Arabidopsis thaliana: one gene and its partners. The protein of the gene in region 1 purifies or fractionates together with the protein of each later gene. This does not show direct contact. Each region holds a gene or a part of one and is shown on either strand. Other genes may lie near its edges. The genes, in order: STRS1, AT5G22320, AT2G43770 and EMB2770.

Region 1 (5,317 bases):
AGAGTAAAGAAAAACCAGAGAATAAGAAGAACAGTAGCAAACGTTGTCCAAATCACAACGATGGGCAGGAGAGCGGCTAGACTGCCAAACAAGATAGCTTGTGTGTCCAACAAGACTCGGGACTAATCCGGGATGTCCACGACTTTACGATGCAAAGAACATAGCTTAGAACAAACACTCATAAATACAAACTGTCAACCACATTCGCAACCCTATAACACTTTAGAGCCATGATCTAAGAACATTTAGCTATGAGAAAAATTAATAATTGCAACAATAAAATATATGTATTTTTATATAAGTCGACCCAAATAGATCGTATAACATCAACTAAGAAAAAATCATGTAAAATGTAAAATGTAAAATATCCATCTAAGGAGGAGCCATACCACTCACGTTGGCTTTATGCAGCCAAGAAGCATCAAAATAGCAAAAATACTTCCTCAATTAGTGTCATTAATATATTGAAGTGTCTGATCAATTAATGTTTCAAGAAAAAAGATAAAACCTTTTTTTCATCAAAGGAAAATAATATAACCTTTTTTGTGGACAAATAAAAGTTTAATAACTAGTAACACAAAATTGCATACAAATATAATGAAAATTCTGAAATATATTTGTTTTTGTTATTCGGGCCAAGCCCCAGACCACAAACGAAAATCAAATGCAGGTTTCATTGTCCAAGTAAATATAATAAAATAATGATACCATTAAAATAATAAACTAAGCTAGTCTTCGTCATCAGAATTATCGAATGTGATCTTCGTAGCTTTAGGAGCATCAGCAGCTATTTCTTTGAAATGAGCTCCATACAATTTTGATTCCTGCAATTTTTAATCAAACAAAACACTCATCAATCACTCCAGAATCCAGATGATGAAGAAGAAGAAGCAATTTGTGTGGAGAATCAAAAATGTGAGGGAAGAAAATCAAACCTTTTTCTTTACATGAGTGCCAAACTTCAAAAGATCAGCTGGCACTACTTGTCCTGCTTCCCTAAGAACATTCACAAGTTCTCCTGCAAGACCCTGTAAGGAAGATACGATCAAATTTGAATCATTTCCATTCTCAACAACTCTGTGGAAAGGATGTAGCTCAAAGAAATTTTTAAAAAGAGTGTTTTCAGTATTACCTTGTTCAGTGGCGTGAAGAAGGTGTGTGCAACGCCCTTTTTACCCGCTCTTCCTGTCCTCCCGATTCTGTGTACATAATCCTCTGTTGTTAAAGGGAAAGTGTAGTTTATCACAACTTCCACGTCCGGGATATCAAGCCCTCTTGCTGCAACATCAGTAGCCACCTGTAATTTATAAAACAGTGTCAATGCTCTGTTTCAGAACCAGTCAATGTATTTTTATTAGCCATGGAATTGCGGAATGATAAGAGTACGCATACCAGTAACGGGCAGGATCCTTCTTTGAACAATGATAAAGACCTGGTACGTTCGCTCTGTGCTTTGTTTCCGTGTATAGATACAGCTTTCCAACCTCTAAAATAGTTGAGTAAATATCGAATTTCATGAGCAATAATATCAAAGATCTTTTTCTCTTTAGTTGATGTGATTTGGGCTAAAAGATCAAACCTTTGCTGAAGAAAACGCTCGAGACGTTCAGCTTCCACCTTGTATAAAGCAAATACCAAAACCCTGTTCCTGAAAATACCAAAACGCTTGGTATTAGTATGTTGAAAAAGGAAAGATCTGGTAAGAGTTCAATGATTAAGTAGCAAATTTACTTTTGAGATTTATGGTATTTTTCTAGTAATGCAATGAGACGCTGATCACGCGCACGTTCATCCAAGACCTGCATTTGTAACCAAACCTTGTTAAGAGTATCATATAAAGGACAACACTACTTGCTATGAGGATGATCCGATAGAACATACCTCAATGATTTGCATAACGTCGTGGTTGGCAGCTAAGTCTACAGAACCTATGATCACCTGAAAGAAATTTGAATGATCATCGGAAATTTTAAGCAACTTGCAGGTGAGGAAAGACAAACTGAGGAGGAAAACAGACCTTGATTGGATTTGGATCCATGAATTCCTGGGCCAATTTGTGAACATCCAAAGGCCAAGTTGCACTGAACATAACCATTTGACGAACTATAAGACAGATAAGAAAGAAGAAGAGTTTTCATTACAATTTAGCACATATATCAAATTTGGCTTCTCACAAGAATGCTAAGTGAAATGTAAAAACCACCTGCCTTTATTTGTGTTACTCAATATAAACCGGACAGGTTCCTCGAAACCCATATCAAGCATTCGATCTGCTTCATCCAATACCTGACATGTAGGAACTTCTGTTACCATCTAATAACTCGAAAATATGATTCCCGTTGTTTCATTATAGGAGCAAGAAACGATGCAACGACTATGATGATGATCCTACGAGGCTAAGTCATCAAATAACATAATCAAAAGATGTTCTGCTGCTTACGACAAAGGAAACATCCGAGAGACGAAGCACATTAGACTCAATCAAGTCTCTCAAACGACCAGGCGTACCAATGACAATATCCTAACAAATAAATCAAGAAAAAACATTACTCAACTGATCCAGAAACATAAGAGAATGTCCTAATCAAAGAACATAATAAGAAATCTTACAACTCCAGATCGAATTGCACTTATTTGAGGCCCTTTAGAGCTTCCACCATACACACAAATCGATTTCAAACCACACGGTTCTCCAGCTTCACGCAAAACATCAGAAATCTACCAAACCACCAAAAACAAACACAACACTAAGAAACTTGACCATACGTTTTCATTTTCACATTGTAATCATAATGAACAAGAAACAATATATATACCTGAACAGCCAATTCTCGTGTAGGAGAAAGAACTAAACAAGTAGGATTAACCTTCTTTGATCCTCCACCAATCTTCTTATTTTTCTTCAACACATGCATAATCGCAGGAATCCCAAAAGCCAATGTCTTACCTAAATACACACAAAACACAAAAAGTTTCAATCTTTTCAACCAAAGTTCAAAACTTTCACACTTCCATAAACATTACTAACCTGACCCAGTTTTCGCAATCCCGATAAGATCACGCCCATCTAACAAAAACGGCCACGTATGTGACTGAATCGGAGACGGCTTCTCGAAAGTCTTACAACAATCTAAAACATTCTCCGGCAAATTCGATTCAGCAAAAGTCTTCAAAGCTGCGTACTTTGCTTCTTCCACACCTTTCCCAGTCACAACAACCTTCTGTTGTTCACTCTCTCCTTCTCCTAAATCCTCAGCTTCAAGCTTCTTCTCCGGGACATCCTTCTTCTTATTCTTCTCAGACTCTTTCTCCTCTCTCTTACGTTTCTTCTTCTTCTCTTTATTACTCAACTCTTCCTCTACACCATTAGTGACCTCTTGAGGCACTTCTTCGACTTCATGATTTTCCTCTGTATGTTTGTTCTTCTTGCTTTTCTTCTTCTTCTTGTTGGTCATCGGACTCTCGACGGCTAAAGGTTCGCCGGAGACGGGAAGCTCTTGCTTTTGTCCAGCCATTTCTTTGTTTCGTTTACAGGAGAGAGTTGTTGATGAAACGGCCGAACGAGAGTCCGTTGTTCAATTTAGGTTTTTAGGGTTTTAAAGCATTGCAAAAATATTTTCTACAATTGCAATTTTGCCTACATAGTTTTGGTTATTACATAGAGAGTCTAGACATCTCTTTTGTTAAAGTAAAACCCAAATTTAATTTGATTTGTAGATCGATAACAAGTCTTTAAAGCCTCCCGAACGTTGCATACCAACCGTCGGATAGGGGATGACCCATGGACGCGAAAGAGGACGTGAGACCCACTGGTAGGGGCGGTCGGGGCGTTACAGCAAAATCGCATGTGATTGTTACCAGCAATATGAGTGTAAGGCAATTTTTGGATGTGAAGTATACAACGATGAATCTGAATTTATTTCTGTCCCTTGACCCCATTGTTGATGACAACCAGAACACACTGATTAAAAAGGACTGCTCCGGTCGGGTGGATAAAGACAAAGGGATAGTAGGCGATGCACAAGTCTTTTATACTAATGGCTTCAAAATGTCTGCTATGGTAACAAAACACACCAACCGGAGTTACCTCAACAATCCGACAAGTATAAGGAGAAAATTGTTTGACGACGCTGGTGTTAAGGGTTCTAATGGTGTTGTGCGATTTCACTCTGTAGAAACATCCAACGTTGTGACCATTTCTGTTGTGAATGATTTCTACAACAACGAGATGGGTGACGATGGTGTTACCAATGTTACTGGCATTATAAGACTTGCAAGGAGCACAAACGGAGATTCAAATTGATGATTAAAATCATTCGACGGTTAAAAGTCAAATTGAGGTTAGTTTTGATGATCAGTTCTCATGTTTGGTTCTTCACAAATAACATAATAGAGCTTTAATTGCGAAATTGATGAATTTTCATATGGAATTTTGAGTTGTTTATGTGTCATCAAACATGGAGGTAAATGTAGTTGTGCTTATGTGTATTTTGATTTTGTCGCTGATACATAAAAACCTTAATATTTTTCATCAAATATAGAAAATAGAAGGGTGCAAATTGTAATAAACAAAAGATTGATCTAAAACCCAATGGGCTTATTAGCCTTACATCCATATCCAAACAGACCCATTTTTCTCACTTATCTCACCGATGTGCCTCGCCGGAGACGCCGTCGTTAGGACATGATAAGATTCTGAAATGATCGTTTCCATCTGGTCGGATTGCTCCTGCTTTTTTTCTCCTTTGCCGTAGACTACGGAGGGAAACCAATATAATGGTAAAGTTTCGAGCTTTGTGTTTTGTTTCCGCCGGAGAATTATACAATTTACTGCTGAGAAAAGAGAACATTTTAATCATATTCTCTTTTTAATTCGTGATGAGAAGGAGTTAATTTGTTAGCCTATTGAGTGCTTATAATGCTACTATAAAAAGAGCTATTGATGTTCTGAAACTTAACAATGCAGAGTAATCTGAGATCATGGTCATGGACAAGCACTTTGGAGGCTCCATGAAATTACAGATAGAAAACTCAAGGTACCATCTCTTTTTACTTCTCGATGTTTAGTTAAATTAGTTTGGTTGTGTTCAAAGTTCTTAAGAGTTTAGACAGATACCAGAGTGACAGTAGTCATGCCTTAGAGTAACAGTGAACAAACAGAGAACAAAGGACTACTTTTGTTTTGTTTTTTAATTTCAAAGCATCCCCGAATAGACCTAGATTGGTGTGTGTTCCACGTCATTATGAAAGGGGTATAGGGTGGAGGTACAAGGATGTCATAAAGTGTTCGATTTTGCCCTTGGGTTCACTGTATCCA
Region 2 (4,815 bases), on another chromosome or scaffold:
AACGACGTTCTTTTTTGTCAAATAAGCTAAACTAAAAAAATATCGTTTACAATATACAATACATACTATGGGTAATTACATACATTCAATACGGGTAGATACGGACATTTTGAACTAGCAAATCGGTTTTAACATTAGCATTACAAAACAAACATAGGAAACAAAAGAAGATGACAAAAATTTCTAACTCTTCTCTACGTCTTCATAATATATCACAAATGTAGACCACATTTACACCTAATCGGAATAGTCTGCACTAAAATTAATTTAGTTTTCTTTTCTGAAATCAAAATTCAAACTTCTCATTGTCCAAACTAGTGTTTCCACATTTTTCCTAGCATTTAGCTTGTATCATTTTATTTCTCTTTTTTATTACACACTAGAAACTAACACAATAAAAATAACAAATATTAAAGCGTGAATAGAATGGTCCCATGGTCTAGTGGTCAGGACATTGGACTCTGAATCCAGTAACCCGAGTTCAAGTCTCGGTGGGACCTATTCTCCTTTTTTTGTTTTGGTTTCAATGACACAAACATTTTATAAAATTAGATATAGCTTCTCAACAGTGCAGAAAACAATTTATAAAGAAGATCGAAACCACTTTCTTCCTCTCCTATGTTCTTTAACCATATCAAAATACTCCCTAGCCGTTGGATGTTACAGACATAACTGTCCCTTCTTTTAAAGAGTAAAACACTCCCTCTGTTGCAGTTTACTCCCACTTAGACTCTCCTCCTAACCCGATCTCAACCTCCATGGGAAGATCAATCACTACACTCTTGCTTTGCTTCTTTTCACTCTTCTTCTTCTTCTTGTTAGCTTTAGTATCTATCACTTTTACTAAACCTGTCTCTTGGACGCTGCTTTTCTTCTTCTTCTCAATACCGTCTTCAGAACCCTTTGGCACATTTTCCCGGGAAAAGATTTCTGCGAAAGAGGTTTCAGCATCATCTATAGCATCGAGTTCCTCCTTTGGAGTAGCCCTTTTCTGTTTCTTCTCAGCATCATCATCATCATCATTGTTACTTGGGATTGTCTTCTCTTTATGTTCTTCTTTCTTTTTTGTTTCAACTTGATCTACATTTGTGTTGCTCTTAGACTTCTTCTTCTTGCTTTTGTGATCCTCATTGTTGACTTCTTCTTCTTCTGACTTATTTCTCTTAGAGCTCTTCTTGCGTTTTCGATCTTCTTTAGATTGTTCCTCTTCTGCTGATTTATTGTGATAGGCATCAAAGGTTTCATCATCGGTATCAAGCCGAATATGCTTTGCATTCCTTGAGCTTTTTTCTAAGGGTTGAGCGTTGAATACATTCACTGAAGGGAGAAGCAACGTTCTCACCTGCGACATCAAAACAATTTTCCTCATTCTTATACGATTTCTTCACGCAGTTACACTAATCACAATGGAAAAAAGAAGTAGAAAAAGTTGTTTTACCTTCTTAGCTGACTTATCGTTATCAGAAATCGGGTTTCCTCGAATATTCAGATTTCGCAAGCAAGATAGTGTACCCAAAACCTATCATTTGGGAGCACACAAATTTGATGGTTTATTACACGATCACCACAAAAACTTGCCACAAGCTAGGGAAGGCTAACAAATTTGCTTTCACCTATATGAATTAGACTATACCTCTAAACCAGAGAGTTGCGTAATCACATTGTTTCCCACATCCAAATTGAGTAGTCTTTTGTTGACTGCTAGTTCTGCTGGGAGAGCCTGAACAGTTAAGCGTAAATGAAATAACGATTAGCAATATAAACAAAAGATTGTGAGAAGAGGCAGGTTTGTTCTGTAGATTGCATAAATGTAAGAAAGATCACCTTGATTTCATTGTTCGCGAGCCGCAGCTCTTTCAAATCAGAGCATGACTTGAGAGAAGAGCCAATAGCTTTTATTCTGCAGTCAGACAAAGAAATCTGAAACCGAGATGGGATTAGACAAGGATCAGTTTAGTTGTGATTCCGAAACGGGAGGAAAACAAGAGCTTACTTTGGAGAGGTTTTTCAACTTTGAAAGTGAGTCACCTATTTCACTGATTGGGTTCCTAGAAAGAACTGCATGAATGAATCCATACACATTTAAGTAGAATGAAATTAGGTGTAACATCTAAACAGTAACATGTTGATTTTGATGTAAAAGAACATACCGAGACTGTTCAAGTCTTTGAGTAAATCAAGCTTGCAAATGGAGGAGATTTCATTGTCTACAACAAGTGAAACAATAACGAGTAAGTAATCAAACAGTAGCTTGTGGATGCAAAGACATAAAACCGTTGACAACTTACCATTCAAGATCAAGGCCCGTAAATTGACAAGAGAAGAGATCTCATTCATGGATTTGAGCTTATTCTTTCCAGCATTAAGCACCTGATAGAAAACAACATCACACAGTCAAATAAAGCACACATATTAACTCGTTTTCTGTCAAAACAAAGCTTAATCCTGGAGAACCTCACTATTGGTAAGTGATACAAATCTCAAAGAAACAAGCTCAGTGATATCAGTGGAACTAACCGTAAGCTTAGTGAGTGCTTCAATTCCATTTAAGCTTTGCAATTTGTTTTCCACAACTGAAAGCCATTTCAAGTTCACACAAGACTTGAGTCCCTAAAAACCAATTAACACATCAACATATAATAAGCTCTAGCAACTTAAAAATCAAAACTTTGGATGCTATTTATGCTTATAAAATGAGATTTATGTATCAATCAACCTGAAGATCTGTTAGATTGTTGAAACGAAGATCAAGCTTTTCCAAGTTTTTGAACTTGCTCAAACAAGACACCTAAATATACAATTAAACAATTAGGGTTTCGTATCAATTTCTACTTGGGAACAGAGTTTCAGAACAGAAACAATACTCACGTCGGTGAGAGCTTTATGGCCGAGATTAAGTTCCTTGACGGAATCTGGGTCATTGGTCTTCTTCTCTTTCAATACTTGTTCAACGGTTAACGAATTCATCGCCGTCTTCGTCTTCTTCCTTGTCACACAAAACCCTAGTCTTTTGGTTTCACCTTATTCAAAAGATTGTCTCTGTTCCCAACCGTGATAAGTCTTTACCCAAAAACCCCACAGTTTTCTATTGTTTATACATTTGACCTTGTTATTATTGTACGGATCAGGGACACCCTCTTATGGTACTCCTCCCACTTTGATCCTCAAGTTTTATAATCTCCGACTCTGCTGACTCTGTTCTGATAATAGAGTTTTTTTTCTTTCTTTTTGGCGCAACATCAACTTTTAACAGTAACCAAATAGACAATTACACAATGTTATGTTCCACAAACAGTTTGATCTTGAATAAGTGTATTGTAATGTAACAAGGGAACTCAATATGAAACCAAAAGTTTGAATCTCACGACCATGTATGTGTATACACGTGAAACCATATTTCAGTTTTCATTAGTTAGCACCACAAACAAAAAAATAGCACATAAATAAATGAATTCAGAGAAACCAAATTGTAATCCCATTAGACATTCTCCATATTCCGACATTACAAAATAAAACGACAGAAAAATTATGAGATGTTTCAACAAAATGTGCGATTAGTGTTCTTCTCATGAGATGTATTTTTCTTGTTGCTCATGCAAAAGCTTTGCTGAAGATTTAGCATCCAAGTAGAGTGATGTTACTTCCTCTATATCAGCCTGTCAAAATTTAAGATGAAGGATTAATAACATAACATCCACATATTTTACATTTGTTTTATTGTTCTAAGATTTCACAAGTAAATCTACCTTGCAAATATTGTCACGGCCATTCATTTTCGCTACAATGCTGGCAGGAGACAGAAGCTGCACAGCGTGCCTGAGAGTGAAAGCACAAAAAAGGTTTTAGTATTTAGATTCACGAACAGAAATTTTGCTTAGAAAAGCAATGATGACAGTACCTTAGTGAAGTTCTTTGCCCAATCTCCCCAAGTAGAACCAAGCATTCTTCATCCACGGTTAATTCTTCAACTTGCGCACGAATGGCTATAATCTGTGAACAAAATGATAAATCTATTAGAATGTTGTTCGTAGTAATTGAAATCCAAAAGCTAAATGACAATTGAGTAACCTGGATCATTTCAGAGGGATCATAGATTTGAGTCCGGATGATAACCAATCGATCTAATAGATCAATAGGGACTCCATGGGGGCTGGGCATATCAGTCCCTCTGCAAATAAAGTAAATCACAGTACCAAGTTAACAAAAACTCACAAGATTTCCAAAGGAAAATGTCTATCAAGGTCTAGCGCTCTTCTCACCTTACGTTGCAAACACCTCTATTTGTTGCAAATATCACTATCGGAGATAATGAGCTCTCAAGAGCACGGTTCAAGTATGAGAAGCACTCCATATCAAGCATATGAACCTGAGGTTTTATAATTAAACAAAGGTATTCTTACTGCTCCTGAGTCCTGAGCAAGATCAATAGTGGAATGAAAAAAAACTTTATTTGGGAAAATACCTCATCAATAAATAGAACTCCTGGAACAAGCTCTGCCACACCTTCATCTATATATCGGTTCACAACCTACAATGGCATATAAAAATATTAGACCTTGCAAAAGAGAAAGTAAGATGCTTAAAAAAATCACCCATGTACTAGCGAAAATCACCTTGTTAATTTCTTGCCGAAGCTTATCAGTGATCTCAGTCTTCCGCGGTTTCATCATTTGGCCCATCAAAGAAAGTATATCCTGGCCACCTTGAGGTCGAGCATTTGCTGCATCCAGATCTTGGAGTGTGACATCCTATCAGTCAAAAGTATATGGTCTAGTTGAGTAACAAGTAGTCTTAATAAACTTAGGAACTAAGGTT
Region 3 (4,098 bases), on another chromosome or scaffold:
CCTCTATCCCTCTTTCACACGAGAGCTCTTACTGGGTTTAGGGTTTTCGATAGATTGGTAAGTGGCCACGACACTAAGCGTCACCGAACCAGTTGTCAACTAAATAGGGAAACTTTAGGCTTCTGTCGCATTTAGGCACGATTCTCTGTAGAAGAAAAAAATATCAGCTTTGTTGTATCTTTCGGATTTTCGAGTGATCATCAAACCTTCATCACCAGGTTCCTTTCGATTCCATTTTAATTTTGTGGACTTTGGAGTAATTTGCTTAAAGAACCAATTTTTGATTGATATTTTCTGCTCTCCTTTCATTTTGACATTTTGATCTGGTTTTGAGAACTTTGGTTGAGTAACAGTAGCCTGCGTTTAAAAGATGTTAGCTTTGGATGTATAGATGTAGAGTTAGGTTTCTAATTGCCTTTATTTTTGCTTTGGTTGATGATTTATGGTTGATTGACTCGTTAAAGGGAAGTGCGCTGATTTTGTGGACAATTATGTTAGACTGATGGGCATGAATGTGACCAATTGATTTTCTCTCCGTTTCCATTATGATGCAGAAGAAAGTTCTATTTTGCTGAAATGTTTTGCAACTTTCAGTTGTTCATTCATACCATGATTGTACTCATCTTTGATCTCGTTGTGAGTACTATCACTTACTCTTGGCGTAGTAGTTCTTAGGATGAGGTATAAGTATAACAATTCGAAAATTCGTCGTATTCAATCTGTGTAATCTGTTTTTCACTATATGAACAATATGTCAATGTCCTGCGATGCCTCAGGGCTTCTGGAGTCACTTCTGCAATGTTAAAAAGAGTAATCAAAAGTTGTTATATCATGCTTCAGAGTTCTCTCTTGTTATTCCTCATCTTAGTATTTATGAAACTGTGATATTGAAGATATAACATAATCTAATACTTCTGATACTTGGGTCTCTTCTGTAACATGTGACACATTGGATCTTGCAGGTTAAAGACTTTGAAGTAATGGCGGGATTTCCAGGTTTTAGTTACCTAGGCCCAAAAGGCAAGAACACGGTTGTAGCTGGTGGCTTGACAGCTTTTGTTTTTGGGGTATACTTCTACACAATGAGGGCGGTTGGTGGCACAGACGAGCTTCAAGTGGCTATAGACAAGTTCGAAGGCCAAAAACAGGTGGACACTGACACCAAGGTTCCATCTAAGGTCTAATCCTCACTGGCTTGATATGTCCAACCAAACCCGTTATTTATCTTTGCTTTCCAAGCTTCTTTTGTCACGAAAGTGGCTCGTTTCTGACATCGAGTGGCATCTGTGTTTGAGTCTCAGTCCAATCTATAATACATTGATTAAACAAGAGAATGTATGATCAGGACATGGTTTTGATGTTCTTGACATTGTCTTAAGTTCTCAACTTTATCATACTCTTTGTACCTAAACGTTTGGTCTAAGCTAAGGTGTGGCTATCCATAAATTTCTGTTACTACGCCGTCAAAATCAATCAAAAGAAACCCAATTTGTCAGCCCAAAAAACATGCAGGAGATGGGTTATTTTGACAAAAAGAATAGTATCGGGTTCATTCCGTCATAAAATAGGGTCTTATCAATATTTTGCAAATAAACCAAAATTAAATACAGACTTGTTTAATTTCTGAATCTCTCTCTTCCTCTTTCTCGCGAGCTTTTTCTCTCTGGGTTTAGGGTTCCGGTAATTTTGCGACGACACCGAGCGATTCGTGCCTCCCTCCCCTTCCTTTGACTTCGGTGCGTAACTTCTTTCTATGTAGGGTTACTCTTTTAAGTAATTTCGTTCTATGAAGTCTTCTGCTGGAATTTTGGTATCTATCAAGCTTTTTTTCTTGAACTCTTCACTGTCTGTAATATAATGGGAGGTGAATCATGCATGTATGTTTCGATTTTGAGACGAATCGAGCTGCTAGTACTAAATTTGGTGTTAGTGGTTGCTTTGCTTTATGTCAAAATTGAATCTGTGAGATCTCTGTAACCGGACTTGAAGTCCTTTTTTCGTCTCTGGTGCAAAACCACAACAAGTTTTAGAGAGATATCGATTTCTTAATGATCTGTGTTTATTTACTTGCGGCTTGAGAATAAACATTGCAACCTTTTGCTTTTGTAGGCTTTACTTAGAATGTGCAGGTTTCATGATACTTCTTGGTGTTTACTATCTGCTTTTCGGATGTTATATTGATTAATGGCTTGAAAATTTTGAAATTGAGATATCTATAAAAGCTACACAGCTGTGTGAATATTGTTATAATTCGCTCAATCTTCTGATTCGTTTTCTCATGGAATCCAGGTTCTAACTTGATTACCAGTGAGAAGTAGGCTAAGATGGAAATCATGTCAAGAGAGAATGAGACTGCTTTGTCAGGTCCTAGGCCGATGGAATGGTCTACCGTCCCACACAGTGCTTCTCAAGGACCTGGTCCCAATGGCAAGAACCGGACCTCGAGCTTGGAAGCACCTATCATGTTGCTAAGTGGACATCCGAGTGCTGTCTATACCATGAAGTTCAATCCTGCTGGAACTCTGATTGCATCTGGATCCCATGACAGAGAAATCTTCCTCTGGAGAGTTCACGGGGACTGCAAAAACTTCATGGTTTTGAAAGGTCACAAGAACGCCATCCTTGATCTTCATTGGACCAGTGATGGCTCCCAGATTGTATCAGCTAGTCCGGATAAAACTGTAAGGGCTTGGGATGTTGAGACTGGGAAACAAATCAAGAAGATGGCTGAACATTCATCGTTTGTGAATTCTTGCTGTCCTACACGTAGAGGGCCACCTCTTATCATCAGTGGATCTGATGATGGAACTGCCAAGCTTTGGGACATGCGTCAAAGAGGAGCCATACAAACATTTCCTGATAAATACCAAATCACTGCAGTCAGTTTCTCAGATGCAGCTGATAAGATTTTCACTGGTGGTGTAGACAATGATGTTAAGGTTTGGGACTTGAGAAAAGGTGAAGCCACCATGACACTTGAGGGCCATCAAGATACAATCACAGGTATGAGCTTAAGCCCAGACGGTTCCTACCTTCTCACTAATGGAATGGACAACAAGCTCTGTGTGTGGGACATGCGTCCTTATGCTCCACAAAACCGATGTGTAAAGATCTTTGAGGGGCATCAACACAACTTTGAGAAGAACCTGCTGAAATGTTCATGGTCACCTGATGGTACAAAAGTTACTGCCGGTAGCTCAGACCGTATGGTTCATATCTGGGACACAACCAGTCGGCGCACTATATATAAGCTCCCAGGCCATACCGGTTCTGTCAATGAGTGTGTTTTCCACCCAACCGAGCCTATCATTGGATCTTGCAGTAGTGATAAAAATATCTACTTGGGAGAGATCTGAATTTCAAAGCTGTGAAACCTTTGCAACTCTAAGTGGAATTGAAGTCTTTAGAATCGACGATGTGCTTTGAGACATTTTGTTTATTGAAAGAAAAAACGAAACATTGCTCTTTGGTACAAGTAATCAAGATTTGTTATCTCCTGTAATATCTTCATTACGCTCTTTATCTTCTTCTACTTTAACAGATGAGGTCATCATTTTAGTTCTCCTTAAAATTGTTATCTTTGGTATTACAATCTTGCAGTATCTTCGATTAGATTCTTACAGATTCAAGCAGTAGCAAGTATAAGCCCAGTCCAGTAACCAACTAACGCATATAAGTCTTTAGATTCAACAATGTGCTTAAGAAAGTTTGTCTATTGAAAGTAAAAAGCGAAACAGTGTTACTGCTACAAGTGATCAAGAAGAAGATTTGTTATCTCCTGTAATATCTTTATGCTCTTCATCTTCTTCTACTCTAACTTTGCTTCCACAGCAACCTCTTCTTCTATGTTCTTCAACCACAGTTTTTTTTACAATGCTGTCTCTTTTCTCTGCAAGCTCCAATCTTTTCTCCATAAACTCAGAATTCTCCTTCCAAATCTCTCCATTAGTGTAAACCTCTTTCTTCCATATCGGAACCGATGCCTTCAACTCGTCGATCAAGAACTTGCAAGCATCTAAACCATCTGCACGGTGAACAGATGAGACCGCAATGAGCACGCTAGTTTCTCCAACAGGAACTGGTCCAAGACGGTGAGCA
Region 4 (6,896 bases), on another chromosome or scaffold:
CCGCCCTTACTTCATATCTAATTAATTTTATATACAATGTAATTAATCTGTTAGCAGTAAAGAGTAAGTACTGACTTAGAGGAAATGATCACATGTGCATTTTGCACAGATTCCGTAACAAAACTTACCTATATTTTACGACTCAAGAACATTAAACAGAACCAAAACAACATCTTATATTAAAAAAAAAAAACGTTAAACCAACTACACTTGAATTTCTTTTTATTCTTCATCATAAATGAATTGGATTGTTGGGCCAATTAAATACATTATCGTGTTCGGCTACCGATCACAGTTTTATGTAACACTCACGAGGAGATATGATTTGTTTAAGAAGATGGTTTAGATGATGTCTTATCTAATTAACATCAACTATAAACCTCTAACCATACCACAGAAATAACAAGAGCACAAAAGTCTAACATATAAGATATTTTGATAAAGTAATTAAAATGTTCAACAACCAACTAGGCACGGACATTTGATGGTACCAAAGTCAAATATGCGGTTCGTATATATCCACTTACTTTATATTTTGCTATTTAGCTCCACATTCGCATTATACATTTAACCAACGATAACGTTATCTATTTGTGTTAATCTTTTGGAAAAAATGTTAACGAACATGTTCTTGTCCCCATCATCATATGATGATGATTGCAAACCTAATATTGCATTTTTATTTTATTTTGCCTTTTGTTATGTTTTTTGGTAGCACTTTTGGGTCCATATTTTGGACACGTTGTCGCCATGTGTTCTCCAAAAGAACAATACATAATAAATTTGGATAATGGTATAACTAGTCTTTAGAAACTAGATATAGATGAGGTGATTAGTTGTGATATGCTAATTGCTAAATACAGCCTATTGTGGTCCGCTTTTGGTAAACCAAACAGATTGTCTTTGATTTGGTCCTCTTTTTTTTTTTTTTTAGTGCGGTCTGTTCTGATCGGAGTTGATCCTGATTATGGCAGTCACAATGTTCTGAGGGAACTTCCTCAACGCCAATTATTATACACTTGAAAGCTGACCAAATACTGGAAATGCAGGAGTTTCACAGACGGCCATCACGAGGAAACTGGTCTCACTTTCAGTTCTCTCTTATCTTCGGTTGAATCGAAACTAATGGACTGTCCACACAATATATCCTGTTGTTTCTCATGCCTCACCAGAGGTACTCGGCAAAAGACTAGAACAAATCAACCTTTGTACTTGCAAACTAGTTTTACCCAACAATAAAACAAATTGCAGTGTTACCACAGGATGAGAGCGACCAAAAGGTTCTCAAAGTCAAGGGTCTACTGAAGATAGGAAAACAAGTCGCCTTTGTTTGAGAATCAGCTCTCCAAAAGAAGGCAAATAAACTAGTTGGTTGATTTTAACAGGCAAGAGGTTTATTAGTATTAAGGCTAAAAAGGTTACCAATATCTTCTTCTAAGAATTACTATCACAGCTAGTGTTAATGGACAAAGAACTCTAAAAACTGTGTCAGGGGTTAGTTTTCTTACACTGTCTAAAGAAGCGTTGGGAGTGTGGGTTTCATGACTTGCCCACGCACCAATCTTAGTCACCAGGCAGACAAAAGCTCCCTAAGGATGAAGGCTAAGGCATGAAACGAACAACAAATGATCAGTTATACAAATAACAAAAGAAGTTTAATAGCTGAACACTGCAGCACACAGAGACTCACAAAGAAAACTGAAGCATTTAGTAAACTGAGAATTCTACATGTATCTGGTGAAACACTCCTGTAAATCAATATCAGGTCTCGCTACTGAAGAAAAACATGAATGGTTAAAAGTTGAGCCTGCAAAGAGAAAACAAGAACTAAGGTGTAATGTGCTATGAGCAGAGCTTGATCATGAAAAACATAAGAAAATTGATACTCTCAAGCAGAATTCTCTTCCTTGCTCAACGCATTCACAACTCTCTTCAAGATAACTTCAATAGGCTGGTGAGCATTTTCAACCGCTTTGGAGATGGCTTGCCATTTCTCGCCATGCTTCGGCTCACAAGCTACACACTTCGCCACAACTTCCTTCCTGTCCTCATCAGAGCCATGTTGAAGTTCAAATTTGTAGAACAACGCCCAGAAATCGCCAATATCTGGGCCAACGGTAACAGCACGTTCAAACCATGCTCTGGCTTTCTCCACCTTCTTGTCTTGCCAAAAGAGCTTGGCAACAGCTATGGTGACATGAGGGTCGCGATCACACTTCTTCATAGCATCAATACTCTTTGTTTTCCGTCGAGGACGTGGCGCCATCTCAATGTCCGCAGCCCAGAGGATACCACTCTTGGGACAGTCTTGCAGAGCCTTTGACATCAAGTGCTCTGCTTCTCTCTTGTTGTCATGCCTCAGTTCAGCGCGAATAGCAGCTAACCATAGCTCAGCCCCCCCAGGATTCTTCTTCCTGGCCGTGGTGAGAATAGCCCGAGCTTTGTTTAGCCCATTCACTTTCTCTTCAAGATCAGCGAGTGAGAGCCACAGTGGTATGCAGTGGGGACAGTGCTTCAAACCAGTGTCATAAGCTTTCCTGGCCTGTTCTAGATGCTTGAACCGTTCCTCGAGCTGCCCAAGCATTAACCAAAGCTTGAAGAATGTTGGGAATTGCTTCAAACCTTCATTAAGCAATCTCCTCTCCTCCTCTACGTTGCCAAGTTCTCTCTCAACAATGGCTGATTTCATCCAGACCCTTTCAGTCCCTCCTCTTTCCCTTGCTTTTGCAAGCAGCATTCTTGCCCTCTCCGGCTCCTTGTTCTCAAACTCAAGCTTGAAAGCAGCAAGCCAGATTTCCTCAGAGTTGGGAATTGCAGCATAAGCCTCTTGTAGAATAGCACGGGCTGCTGGAACATCTCCAGCGAGCCACTTCTCTTTGGCACCCATGAGCCAGAGAACCTCAGCTTGCGGGACATATGTTACAGCCTTACGCAACAAGGCATCAAGGGACTCCCGACTCCCATGGCTCTTCTCAAGCTGCGCCGCTTTAAGCCAGATACTTTTCTTGGTCAAGAATACACTAAGAGCATGGGCGTATATTGCTCTTGCGGTCTCAATGGAACCCCTCTTCTTGCACTCATCTGCATCAGCAACCCAAGTTCTCTTTCTATCCTCTTCTTCCACTCCAATACCTATTGTGTTCTTAATAATGGCCTGGCATGTAGCGACAGATCCAACTCTCTCACATGCCTCAGCCTCACTCATCCAATTTTCTCGGTCAATAACAACCCCTTCTCTCTGGAGAGTCTTTATACCCCTATCAATAATCTTTCCCACCATAGCCGTGTTATCATTAGCTTCATCTAGCTTCCCATTAGCTTCTTCTAACTTAGCAGCGGTGATCCAAATTGCAGGCTCCTTTGGGAGCTTCTCTCTCGCTTTGTTCAACACCTTCTTTGATTCAGCATATGTTTCGAGCCTCGCAAGTGCCACCCATAGCTCCAGATGCAAAGGGCAGCACTCCACAGCCCTGTGAAGCAAAATCCTTGCATCCTCCTCATTAGCCAACTCAACAACAGCCTTCCATAGTCTTACAGAGTCTGGAATATGTTCCAGTCCCTTTCTCAACACCCTACTCTTGTTCTCCACATCATGCTCCAGCTTTGCAGCCTCCAACCATAGCTTCACTGAATTGGGTATCAGCTTAACTCCCTTCGCAATAACCCCCTTGGCATCTTCTGGATTAGCTAACCTACAAGCTTCAAGCCAAACATCCTCATTTTTCGGGCACTCTTCGCAGCCCCTCTGAATCTGAAACCTAGCTGCTTTAATCTTCCCATCCACCTCCTCCACTCTAGCAGCAGCAATCCAGCCATTTGGATTCTTTGGATTCGACTGGGTCAGACTCTTGTATAACAATCTAGCTCTATTGCGATCGTATATCTCTTCATCAGTGGTTCTTTTCATACTCTTCAGGTCAGTTAAGTAGCCTTTAGGATCCACTACAGTTTGCCCCGAAACTGAATCTGATAGGTTATCAAGCTTCAGAGACAACACCGTACCTCTTCCCTCACCGACAGCAGTCAAGTCTGTCACCGGCGTCTGCCCCCATGGTGTCTCCGACCCACCAGCGGCTCTGCTCTTTGGGTCTAAGGCCATGACAAGCTCCTTTTCTTTCTTCGCCTTCTCCAAAAGCGTATCAGGAATAGGCACAAAGCTCTCAAACTTCTTCTTCTTGTTCCTCAGCGAGTAATCCCCAATCTCAGGAATACTATCCCACTCATCCGCAGACAAAGTGTGTAATTTCCTCTTCAAATCCGCAAACTGCTCAGTAATCTTAGGGTTCGAGGCTCGGTATTTCTCGATTTCTTCCTTCAGCTTCGCTTCTCTCCGATCTTTCCTCCTCGAATCCATCCTCTGATCAATAGACTCCCAGATGGCATCAGCCTCTTTATCATCCTCATCGTACTCAGCATTAGCGAACAAACCAACATCATTCCCTTCAAACTCATCAAACGTCTGATTCTCATCGTACCTTTTCTCCTCAGCTTCTTCATCGTCCTCCGCTTCCGCTTCACTTGGCTTCCCTGCTCCACGACCTACTCCTGGAGCAGCCGCTGTAGCCAAAGCAGACCGATCAGGAAGATCCGGAGCAGCACGAGCAGGACCAATATCAGATCGAGTAGTAAACCCAGTAGCACCACGACCCAAACCCGCTACATAATTTGACGGAGGCTTAGAATTGAGGAAATCAAGACGAGGCTTCGGCGGAGCCGCTTGCATACCACCCAAAAGCAGGACATGGATAATCACAGTAGAGAAACGAGAAACACCGAGATCGGACAATAAGATCGAATCGGAATCCTTTGAATCTACAAACACGCGGCTAGGGTTTCGCATACGGAGAGAGTAACGAAGGAAAGATTGTGGAACATCACTACGTTGGTGGGCCAATTGTTCGAAGGCGGAGATGGTGGTTGAATTAGGGTTCACGTCGATCGATAAAGTCTTCCCGTTTGGAATCGAGAGAAACACCATCGTAACCTAATCGAGATTCTCCGGTCAAAGAAACCAAACTATAAAAATCTCTGCTGTTACAACGAATATAAAGGGTGGAAAAAAAATAGTCGGTTCAGAGGTAAAGGCGGTGGGATATGTAGTGGGCTTTTTAATGGGCTTTTTGAACTTCATATTGTAAAACCACCGTTAGTATAATTCGAGCTTTTCATAAAGCGACACCGTATATGACTATCTCTGTGTGTTTTGGTTTTAAACGACGTCGTTTGCATGGCTTTGGGAAAAAAATTAAATGACTAAATATTGCGGTGAGCGTGGATCGAACACGCGACCTTCAGATCTTCAGTCTGACGCTCTCCCAACTGAGCTATCCCCGCTTCATGTAACACAATCAATGAGTAAAAGATATATAGAAAGAAAATAAAAACGAAAAGACAACGTAATGCGGTGAGCGTGGATCGAGATCTTCAGTCTGACGCTCTCCCAACTGAGCTATCCCCGCTTACTGACTCTTTCCAAACCAACGTAATAAATTACTAGTTATGAAAACAACAACTGAATCAAATAGATAAGAAGACATCCTTTCGTCTTTTTTGTTTCAATCACACGGACCAGAGCCAGAGGTGTGATATGTTTCAGCATCTTCTTCATCAACAAACCATAATAGCATTCGGAGAGGATATCCGTTGCCCAGTGACAACGACCAAAGCCAGGAATATATGGGACAGTGTAATAGGCAAGAAGAAAATAGAGCACAAAATAAAATACGCGCTGAATATCTATATATACATTTTTGCAGCAATTTTGTGAAATAAATCTTATAGTTGGGACTTATTTACAATAGCTGCCACTGGATTTTAATGTTTGTTTTTGATAATTAGAAAAAAAATCTTCAAATTAAATATTTGACATTTAACAATCTTCCCTAAATCTCTCCACATTAACTACACGATTAGTTACTAAAATAAAACTTTCAAAATATTTAATATCATTTATTTACTACAAAATTATCATTTTTGATATTGTTTTTCTCCATGACTATAACAATTTAATTATAATCGTCAAATCGCAGAGATATTTGATAGCATTTAATTATTACAAAATTACAAAATATTTAGACAATAATTCATAAACATATCATAAATAAGATTAACATTAATAAAATAAATGTTTTTTTTATGGGACGGGTTGGCGGGACGGGTTTGGCAGGACGTTACTTAATAACAATTGTAAACTATAAAATAAAAATATTTATAGATAGATACAATTTGCAAACTTTTATGTATACTAACTTTAAAAAATAAATTGTTTCCGCGGTGTACCGCGGGTTAAAATCTAGTATTTAGTGAAGAACGAAAAAAAATAACTAGTATATCACTTGTTGTAGCGAGCACGCCAAAATAGAATGCGACCTACATGGAGTTTAGAGCCAAAGACAGAAATGGAAAGGCAAACTGAAAGGCTTTGTGGCCGAGTTCTGGATCACCCAGCAAAGCCCAAATAAGAACAAGTATTGCTACAATAAGTTAACCAACAACCAAGTCCTGAACTGCTTAGCCGCCTCTAAGAACATAGCTCAAGATTAAAAAGAAATGGCAAGCCAAGAACATAGACTACCTCAAAACCAGGTATGAGCTGGAAACAAACCAAAAGTCTGACAATTTACATGGCACGAGATTTTCCTTAATAAAACAAGAAGCTGGAAATTGACTTAGTGCAGATTCTTTTAGTCATTGTTGCTGTTGTGAGTTGTGACCAGCGGCCGAAAGCGAAAGGAAATGGTGGCAGCAAAAGATGTGTTGAAGTGAGGGTTGGGTAAAAAAAACTTAGGTACTGAAATAATGATCACCAGCAAAACAACAAGAGGTCATTTTGACTATCTGTCAACTACAATCACAGTGATCAAACTGGACCTAGCTAATTATGATACAATCTGTAT

The links.
Region 2: the proteins of STRS1 (region 1) and AT5G22320 fractionate together in Arabidopsis thaliana (co-fractionation; one large-scale study listed by BioGRID). This does not show direct contact.
Region 3: the proteins of STRS1 (region 1) and AT2G43770 fractionate together in Arabidopsis thaliana (co-fractionation; one large-scale study listed by BioGRID). This does not show direct contact.
Region 4: the proteins of STRS1 (region 1) and EMB2770 fractionate together in Arabidopsis thaliana (co-fractionation; one large-scale study listed by BioGRID). This does not show direct contact.

Annotation. Positions count from the first base shown.
Region 1 is NC_003070.9:11,478,119-11,483,435, reverse strand, and holds STRS1 (DEA(D/H)-box RNA helicase family protein), read right to left. Parts: upstream 3,674-5,317; 5' UTR 3,516-3,673; coding exon 3,029-3,515; intron 2,948-3,028; coding exon 2,817-2,947; intron 2,719-2,816; coding exon 2,611-2,718; intron 2,522-2,610; coding exon 2,441-2,521; intron 2,287-2,440; coding exon 2,208-2,286; intron 2,104-2,207; coding exon 2,018-2,103; intron 1,939-2,017; coding exon 1,882-1,938; intron 1,800-1,881; coding exon 1,732-1,799; intron 1,649-1,731; coding exon 1,580-1,648; intron 1,487-1,579; coding exon 1,393-1,486; intron 1,298-1,392; coding exon 1,133-1,297; intron 1,029-1,132; coding exon 936-1,028; intron 825-935; coding exon 729-824; 3' UTR 546-728; downstream 1-545. Other genes in the region: AT1G31960 (uncharacterized protein), read left to right, coding at 3,782-4,303; AT1G31950 (Terpenoid cyclases/Protein prenyltransferases superfamily protein), read right to left, coding at 5,242-5,317. UniProt on the Arabidopsis thaliana protein: ATP-dependent RNA helicase required for 60S ribosomal subunit synthesis. Involved in efficient pre-rRNA processing, predominantly at site A3, which is necessary for the normal formation of 25S and 5.8S rRNAs.
Region 2 is NC_003076.8:7,387,460-7,392,274, forward strand, and holds AT5G22320 (Leucine-rich repeat (LRR) family protein), read right to left. Parts: upstream 3,155-4,815; 5' UTR 2,968-3,154; coding exon 2,869-2,967; intron 2,789-2,868; coding exon 2,717-2,788; intron 2,611-2,716; coding exon 2,518-2,610; intron 2,371-2,517; coding exon 2,289-2,370; intron 2,208-2,288; coding exon 2,151-2,207; intron 2,059-2,150; coding exon 1,994-2,058; intron 1,921-1,993; coding exon 1,825-1,920; intron 1,721-1,824; coding exon 1,634-1,720; intron 1,520-1,633; coding exon 1,439-1,519; intron 1,343-1,438; coding exon 716-1,342; 3' UTR 545-715; downstream 1-544. Other genes in the region: RIN1 (P-loop containing nucleoside triphosphate hydrolases superfamily protein), read right to left, coding at 3,567-3,656, 3,747-3,816, 3,899-3,990, 4,069-4,168, 4,260-4,366, 4,463-4,528, 4,614-4,748.
Region 3 is NC_003071.7:18,133,530-18,137,627, reverse strand, and holds AT2G43770 (Transducin/WD40 repeat-like superfamily protein), read left to right. Parts: upstream 1-1,591; 5' UTR 1,592-1,736; intron 1,737-2,289; 5' UTR 2,290-2,324; coding exon 2,325-3,356; 3' UTR 3,357-3,567; downstream 3,568-4,098. Other genes in the region: AT2G43780 (cytochrome oxidase assembly protein), read left to right, coding at 577-636, 963-1,184; AT2G43760 (molybdopterin biosynthesis MoaE family protein), read right to left, coding at 3,756-4,098.
Region 4 is NC_003075.7:1,515,523-1,522,418, forward strand, and holds EMB2770 (pre-mRNA splicing factor-like protein), read right to left. Parts: upstream 5,042-6,896; 5' UTR 4,979-5,041; coding exon 1,889-4,978; 3' UTR 1,691-1,888; exon of another isoform or gene 1,603-1,690; 3' UTR 508-1,602; downstream 1-507. UniProt on the Arabidopsis thaliana protein: Pre-mRNA splicing factor required for splicing and for the turnover of unstable transcripts. May be a U5 snRNP-associated protein involved in the formation of U4/U6-U5 tri-snRNP. Involved in responses to abiotic stresses.